Danio rerio: one gene and its partner. The protein of the gene in region 1 interacts with the protein of each later gene in a biochemical or structural test. Links are inferred from orthologs where the notes say so. Each region holds a gene or a part of one and is shown on either strand. Other genes may lie near its edges. The genes, in order: dcaf11 and slbp.

Region 1 (4,579 bases):
TCTTAATTATCATTTTCTTTTACATGGTGTATTTAAGACAGGATATTTCTGAAATGCATTGTAGCTACTTTATGTTCAATGGGTAAAATGGGGTATATATATTTTTTCTTTTTTATATGACAAAATCTTATTATTTTTACTCAACACTTTTTATACTGTCATTTCATCTGAATATAATTTGTCATAATATCAAAAATGTCATTTATTAATGTCTCTATGGTGATCCCTGACACTGTATTATCTTGATCAATTTTAAAATTATCTTTTTAATTTTGAAAATTAGGTCATTATTAAAGTTATATTGTGATGATTTTTTACATTTCAGATGTCTATAAATGATTAAATTATCCACTTCTACAATTTCCAATAAAATCTCTTTGTTTAACTGCAGAGTTCATTTTTTAAAATTAATGTTGTCAGAGCAGAGCACCAGGTCTCATAAAGCAATTTGAAAGTGTACATAAACAGAAAACATTGTTGCGACAACTATAAATTGTCAAATTTGTTTACAGTATTTTACAGGCTGGCAAATGAGCAAATAGGGCTATGAATGAATTGGCTTTAAGCGCAACTCCACCAAACCAATGAAATCAACTCAACTCAGTGCAACCAAAATGGATTAATTTCACTGATCTCTATACTATTGTATGAGTGATTTGGGGTTTGGGAATTGGGGCCTCAAGCATCAAACCACCTCATAGTCACAATACATGAAGAACAAAGAAAACACTGTTTTATACACTGGAAGCTATCTATAAATATGTATATAAATGTAGCACATTTATCGAGCTATATCTAGATTGTAATGTAGGTTCTCTGAACTAAAATATATAGTTTTTAGCTGTTTCATCTAAACATCTGTAATAAATATTATCTGTAAAAAATGCATCCACATTTGGTTATTTGCATCCACATTTGTTTATATATATATATATATATATATATATATATATATATATATATATATATATATATATATATATATATATATATTCTGATATATTATATACAGAATATATTATATATATTCTGACTGAAGAGAGCATGGTTATTACCTGAAAAATTCAGCATATCCAACAAAATAAGAGAGATACATTTTAAGATCTTGCATTATGTATATTCTACAAATTCCCATGATTTAAATTTGTCTATAGAAGATATATTTCTGTATTTCTCAGGTAATGATCATGCTCTCGATCTTATTGTAAATTTTTTTTGTGTTACACTGTAAATTTTTTATACTCAAAAATAAGTTCCTAAAAACAATAACTATATTTAATACTTAAATTTAGTAATTTAATATATAATTTCGTAAAATATTGAATCTCTTAAGTTTATTAATAATAAGAAGAATAATGAATTTCTTAAAGCTTATGATAATCTTTTTTCTTATTGATTAAGGCTTTATATAAAAAAATTCTCTCTCTTTGTGTTTGTTCTGTGGGAAAGCGTCGGTGTGTCACGTGAGCAGGCGAGTCTCGAGACCGTAAACAACATGGCGCGTCACGAACCAGGAGAGTCTTAAAAACAACTCAGGGAAGCAGCGGCGCTAAGCTTATTGAACGTACAGGTATATAAACTTAGTTTTTGCAAACACTATTTTCTGTTTTTTTAACGAGGTCTGCAGGAACAAACCAACGGGTAAAAGAGCTGTCAAAGCGCTGTTACCATTTAACTGGTGAGTGCCTCTCTTTTGTAGGTCGCTTACAGTGCTAGCGTGAGCGCTAACTTCTAAAGAATGAGCTGTTTTAAGTGCTGTTTTGATGTAATACGTAGACAATCTTATATCTTTCTTTTTTAAACTACTGGTCTGTAAATATAAAACCGTTATATGAAATGTTCGCAATATGTCATTTGCAGTTTTAGCCTGTCAATTTAGCATGCTCACCTGTCAAGTTACATCACAGTCTATTGTCAACAATTACTGTCCTGATTTTTAATCGCTTATTAAATGTCATAATTCAATGAAGTCAATTAAACAATATGATGTTAAAAACTGACTTAGGCCTACCTTTCAATTGATAAACTACATCAATGTTAGTTTGGTGGTATTCATTTTGCATTAATCAAACATATGTTTTTGAACAGACAAATACATATTTAAGCGGAAAATAACACTGTTTGCAATATATCATTTATTTTATGTGACCCTGGACCACAAAACCGTCAAAACAGTGTCGATTTTGCAATCGTCTGAAGTGTCAGTCATCAGAATCATAATATTTAAGTTTCCATTAATGTTTACTTTGTTAGGATCCTCAGGATCAACTATTTGAAAATCTGAGAGTTAAATTAGAAGAAGATCACATTCAAAGTCTAAATTAATTGCTCATCAATGTATATTACTAATCAAAAATTCAGTTTTTATTAATTTACAATAGAAATTTATGAAATATCTTAATGTAACTTCATTCTTATGTAATATCTAAATTATTTCTGGGATGAAACGAAAATGGCTATTAGCAAATATATATATATATATATATATATATATATATATATATATATATATATATATATATATATATATATATATATATATATAAGAAAGCTTCTCTAAAGTCCTGTTTTGTAAATGGTTGAACTTTTTTGGCACTCACTTAAGTGTACTGTGTACATATACACTACCATATCAAAGTTCACTTGGCAACATGTTTTTAATATTAATTTATTAATTAAAATAATTAAAAGTAAAATTACAGTATTTCAAATTAATTCCTGCTCTTTTGCAGTTTTAAAATGGCCTGACTAAAAACAATGTCACAGTTTCTCCGAATATATTAAGCAGCACAATTATTTTATCACCAAATGCTGCCCAGGACTGTTGCTGGAAGCTACTGGTCTATTGTAATTGTTGAAAGACACAGATGATTGGAACTCTTACTATTTAAGCACATAATATCATTTACAGTTATTTAAAAGACAGTGAGATGACGCAGTGGCGCGGTAGGTAGTGCTGTTGTCTCACAGCAAGAAGGTCACTGGGTCGCTGGTTCGATCCTCGGCTCAGCTGGCGTTTTTGTGTGGAGTTTGCATGTTCTCCCTGCGTTTGCGTGGATTTCCTCCGGGTGCTCCGGTTTCCCGCCACAGTCCAAAGACATGAGGTACAGGTGAATTGGGTAAGCTAAATTGTCCGTAGTGTATGAGTGTGTGTGTGTGTGAATGTGTGTGTGGAAGTTTCCCAGTGATGGGTTGCGGCTGGAAGGGCATCCGCTGCGTAAAAATCTGCTGGATAAGTTGGTGGTTCATTCCGCTGTGGCGACCCCGGATTAATAAAGGGACTAAGCCGACAAGAAAATGAATTAATGAAGCTGAGGTTCGAACCAGCGACCTGCTTGCTGTGAGGCGACAGCACTACCTTCTGCGCCACTGCCTCGCCTTGTTAAGAAATATATAAAACAATTTATTTTTTTATTATTGTATTATTAAATTTATTAAATTATTTAAAATATATATTAGTGATAGGGCAAATAAAAATCTTTTCCTGGGCAATAAAAAAAATCCTAAGCTTTTGGCTCTTTATGAATTTAAAATTTAACTCATAACGGTCTTAAAAATGTCTTAAAAATCTTACATTTAACTTGGTGAAACTTGAAGAAACTCTTTTATAGAATATCTTGCTTTTTCATCTTGAGTGTAATTGCCTGTATTGCTGTGGAATAAATCAATGATTTGGCAGACAATCAGTCTATGGGCTCTCAGTCCAGTTCTGGGATGTCCGGTCGGGGCTCTGGCAACAACCCAGACCAGTCAGAACCAGAAGCCAACCAGAACGCCAATCAGACGGGTCGTACACAGGCTGAGAGACAGTCAGGATCTGAAGAGGACGTTGACTTAGCACAAGTTCTGGCGTACTTACTGCGAAGGTAAATCTATAACCTTCTGAACCTATGAGATAGTGGAGATACTGTAAAACATCCTGGAACATATTGTAAACCTGCTTTGCATTTCCTCCACATGGGTAATGCAAATTGTTTTACCTTTTTGTCTACTCTAGGGGCCAGGTACGTCTGGTCCATGGAAGTGGAGCAACAGGCCTACAGCTTGTGCAGTCATATTCAGACTCTGATGAGGACAGTGATGGGGCTTGGGATGGGAGGTTAGGTCATCGATATGACCCTCCAGGTAAATAATGAACTGTGTGCATGATTAATTTATGCTTTTTTACTTAGTTGACACCCCAAGTTACAGTGCAGTGTTTAGAAATTATTATGCATTATTTATTTTATTTTACTTTATTTTATTAACATGGTATGATAAAACACAGGGTGTAGTAATATGCAAACATTATGCTTAGATGCGTTTTTGGTACAGCCAGGAGAAAAAAATCATATCTTTTTAATTATACTGGTTTACTAAATCAATTATGTTTTTGTCTTTATATGCATTCAATAATAAATACAGTTCTACGCAATGGTTTGAACTGCATACATTTATACTAAAAGTTAAAAATTAACAAGAGACTCACTTGCTCACTTTCCTTTGCTTTAGTTCCTGATTTATCAGGGGTTGCCACATTGTAATGAACCAACAATTACTGCGGCATATGTTTTATGCAGCAGATGGCCTTCCAGCTGCA
Region 2 (4,439 bases), on another chromosome or scaffold:
CTGCCTCCTACTGGATAGGAGTGTGTAACGCATAATAGTTGGAAAGTAAACCATGAATGGGAGATGATGGATGATAAATAAATAATTAAGATAAAGTTTTATTTACACAAGAGTCTTGAATTATATTGATAAATCCTGTTATCCTGATAAATTCCAAATAAAGGATGAGTAAACTGACAGAATAATTGGTTTTGTATGAGTTTAAAAGTTTTAAGGAATAATGCGTTGCTTATCTTAATGCACTCAAATAATGATCTAATATTCACATTTATTTGTATTGACATATAGGTTTATAGGGTCCATTTTAAAAAGCTGGTTCACTCAAATGTGAAAATGAGCTCCTTCTTCCTTGTGTGCGTGTGTTTGAGTCCTTTGAATTTCTCTCTTCTGAAGAATGCTGGTTGCTGGGATGCATTGACTTCAATTGTAGAAAAAATGGGAGTCAATGGGTCGCGGCAACCAGCATTTTCTCAAATGTTTTCTTTTATGTTTAACTGAAAAAACTCGAATCGAGTTTGAGCAATTAAATGGCGAGTCACGTTAAATGGGAAAAAAACGTTTCACTGATGTATTCAGTAGCCCCTGTTATTTTTGAATATGTTGCACTTACAGGTTGTATAACATTTATTAAGTTCCTAAAATTAGCACATACATCACACAACGTGACTGGTTGAACTGTCCCTTTAAGGTGATTCATTTTTCTTAAAATCCGAAGGGAATTAAGGTTTAAACAAACGGTAATGGTATTTTTCTTGTTTGAAAGAAAGAAAAATTACTGGTGTTTTTGCCACATTAAACCGAAACACATCGACGACGGGAAATTACCTCGGAAGTATTAAAAGGCTATGCATTAATATTTTTCTCTCTTGTTTTGTCGTGACCACGACTAAATTATTGTGAGCCCGAGCAGTTAGGCTATTTTCTCCCTGATCACAAGGCCGGTGCAGACTCACTGGTCAGACATTGGTCAGATAATAATAGTAATAATAATAATAATAATAATAATAATAATAAATATATAAAAGCAAACAAAAAAAACGTGATTACGACATGTTTGTCATAACGTTTTATGTCGAGATCACGAGATAATTAAGTCATCACGAAAAAACAAGAGAGAAAAAATATTTTAATCCATGGCCTCTTGGGGCTTCCTTACATGACTTACTTTTTCTCTTTATTTCTTAATACATGAAAAAATTATTTTTGTGGACCCAGGTCTTTCGTCTGTTTGTATTCCCGCCACGGCGTTCTAAAACGGAAAAAGAAGTTACGCGCTAAACTCGACATGTGATCTATAAACCATAGACCGACCTCAAAGAGCTTAGAATCACCTGATTCTAAGGTCTTTGCAGATTTTAACGAACGGGTACACATGATTTGTGGATCGGCGTATGTGGGTGGATCAAGTTGTGAGATACGTCACTAACACCGCCCCTTAAGTGTCATGTGACATCGATGTTGACGTACACTGCAGGACATTGGCGCGGTTTAATCCAAACCCGGCAGCTGATCGTACGTGCAGGTTCAATTTTACACCCTCTCGAAGCAATGTCTGAACAACAAAAATACAAATACGAAAACGATTACAAATCTAGTGAAGACAGGTAAGAATTTTAAACTATATTTAGTGGTGTGTGCAGTTGTTTTTGTCTTTTCGTGTTTTTTGGCTTTGTGGCTCCGATGTTTGCTAGCATAGCAAGACAACAAAGTATTGTGTTCCTGCTGTACTTCACTATTTTGTCTGTTTTTGGACTATAAAACATTCTTTTTACTTTCATTTGTAACTTCTTCTACTATTTTAGGTCATTAGTTCTTGCAAAATCTCGACTCTTTTATGCAGATAATGAATGAGGTGTGAAGATCTCCCGCCAGTCTTCTGTGTTGTGTTCAGAGTGTAAATGAGAGTTGGCGCCATACGAGCATTACCTCTGGATTCCCTAAATCAGCATTACTTATTTTAGTTTTACTAAAAGTTGTTGTTTTTATTATTTGCAGTGAGTTGTGTGTTGACTGCAGGTTATTTTGTGGCGCCATGGAAACAAAGGTTTCTTCGAGTAGTGATTTAGCTCATTGTGTACGTTAACTGTTAGTTATTAGGAAGTCGCGGTTTTCCGTCGCCATCTCCTTTAACGTTAAGTGTGTAACGAAGTAGATTTGTTTGTAATTATACATAAGCATATTTGGAATATTAACAAGTGATGATGACTTGTGTTGTAAATTGCATTTCTTACTGAAAATGTATTAACCCAAATTTTGATTCGTAATATGCTTTGCTAAGCTCTGTATAAACAACTTTAAATGTGCATTTTATCAGTTCTGTGATAAATTTTTTTTGTAACTCTGCGATTCTAGATTTTTAAATAGTTGTATCTCCACCAAATGTTTATTAATTATATCCATGTGTTTATTGCTTTAGCATTTCGTGTTCATGTTATGTGCAACATTCACTTTTTCACTTTTTTTTTTTCAAATGTATATATATTTTGTGTTAAAGGAACAAAGGAGCTTCAAGGTGGTCACAGTGTAGGAAACGTGGAGCAGATGGTATTCTGAGGAAGTCTCATGCTGATGAAGAGCCAGGCAAAGATCAAAGATGTTCGAAGAGATCAGAAAGGTAACATTTTGCATTGACTTTACAACATACCAATTTCTCAAGAGAGTCAACTGGAGTAGTTTTGTTAGGTTGTGGTTGACATTTTGATTTATTAGATGCATCAAATCTGACCTCTTTGATGAATTTCATTACATTTTAAACTGAGATACAAATGATAGTCGGTTTATTTTCTTATTACTGAACAATTGTGTCTTTTTTTGTGCAGTTTTACAACCCCAGAGAGTGAAGGACCAGTGTCCAGAATAAAAAACTGGGGCGATGAGGTGGAGGAACAGGAAATGCGCACAAATGTCCGGCGTGATTTTCATCGGTCAGTTGCCTCTCTTGAATTAAAAAAAAAATTCTTGCCAAAGTAAATTTTACATTAACAACAATTACAGTATTTTATGTTGCAAATATACAGGTGTACATGGCACTGATAAATCCTTCATTTTATTTATTATTTTTCAGTTACAGAAGGAGGATTCTTGCGAGTGATTTCCCTCAAAGAGACAGAAAAATCTCATCTGGAAGGTTTGTGTTTTAATCAGGGTCGCATTTAGACTTATTCCCCTAAAAGGTGCTCTTATTTGTCCACGTCAAACCATTTTTTTGTTTGTTTCTGCAAAATATTAGCTAACAAACTTTTCCCTTTAAATCTGAGACCCCAGCACTAACTGTGAAATCAATTTAAAAACGTTACAATATATTTCATTGAAAGGATTCTAATCCAAAAATAAATAACTTACTGAGTTTAAAGTTTTATCTTTGGAAGAAACATTTTTATTAGTTTTCAATGTGTGACTAGTGTTCATTTATTATAAATCAGTAGCGATGGCCCGATCAGGTTTTTTGAGTTACTTAATTTTAAGTATCTGGCGATTAACGAAAACCGATCCGATACTTCTATAATAAATAAAAATAAAAGAAGAGCAAAGAAACCGATCCAGGACTTTGCCTGCTTTTAACCATTTTTGCTTCAGAGATGCTATTGATGTCATGCTGCATGCGTTGCTGTTGCTGTGTGAAGTCGCACAGAAAACTGTTCTAGACATGATGCTTCAGGGATAGTTGGAAAGATGTTAATTTAATGTAGGGCTAGTTGAGAAAACAAAAACACTAAATGCTTTTAAGATATAATACATCAGACAAGGGACACAGGCTTAGAAAACATGATTAAATGAACACTACTACTGTCCCAGCATAATATACAAGTAATAACAATTGTAATAAATGTGGTGCTATCAAAACACTATTCTTATTGTTTGAGCATTTTGTTCACCTCAATTTGGACAACCCAATGTGTGAATTTGGGGTGGGTCTACCTGTTTAAGCGTATAATAGCAAATAAAAGTTCAATCTAGAAGTAAGTTTTACAGCAATTTTGACTTGAGTTGTAATCAAGCTTTTCTTGTTCTCCCAGTTCAGACTCCAGAGACTCTAGGGATTCGAAAGAGTCGCCTGCTAAAGGTGACATCGAGACCGATGAGACCACCCTCATCAGAAGACAGAAGCAGATAAATTACGGGAAAAATACTCTTGCGTACGACAGATACATTAAAGAAGTTCCAAAGTGAGTTAAACCATGCTTTTTTTTTTTTTTTAACGAATGTGTCATGCTACCCAGATCTTTTTTCTGCAATTATTTTTTGTACAGCATCAGAACCTTAAAATATAACTCCTCTTTCAGGCATTTGAGACAACCAGGTGTTCATCCAAAGACTCCAAACAAGTTCAAGAAGTACAGCAGACGCTCCTGGGACCAGCAGATTAAATTGTGGCGGGTCAAACTTCATGCATGGGACCCTCCTGCAGAAGAGGGAAGCGACTTTCAGCAAATGTAAGC

The links.
Region 2: the proteins of dcaf11 (region 1) and slbp form a complex in vitro, tested with the Homo sapiens proteins (2 studies listed by BioGRID, with this or other methods). The link is inferred for Danio rerio from reciprocal best matches to the Homo sapiens genes DCAF11 and SLBP.

What each region holds. Positions count from the first base shown.
Region 1 is NC_133199.1:14,443,160-14,447,738, reverse strand, and holds the start of dcaf11 (DDB1- and CUL4-associated factor 11), read left to right. Parts: upstream 1-1,467; 5' UTR 1,468-1,678; intron 1,679-3,679; 5' UTR 3,680-3,690; coding exon 3,691-3,866; intron 3,867-3,997; coding exon 3,998-4,125; intron 4,126-4,579. UniProt on the Homo sapiens protein: May function as a substrate receptor for CUL4-DDB1 E3 ubiquitin-protein ligase complex.
Region 2 is NC_133189.1:17,118,949-17,123,387, forward strand, and holds the start of slbp (histone RNA hairpin-binding protein), read left to right. Parts: upstream 1-1,460; 5' UTR 1,461-1,548; coding exon 1,549-1,604; intron 1,605-2,494; coding exon 2,495-2,614; intron 2,615-2,819; coding exon 2,820-2,924; intron 2,925-3,064; coding exon 3,065-3,127; coding exon of another isoform or gene 3,128-3,131; intron 3,132-4,016; coding exon 4,017-4,166; intron 4,167-4,283; coding exon 4,284-4,433; intron 4,434-4,439. UniProt on the Homo sapiens protein: RNA-binding protein involved in the histone pre-mRNA processing.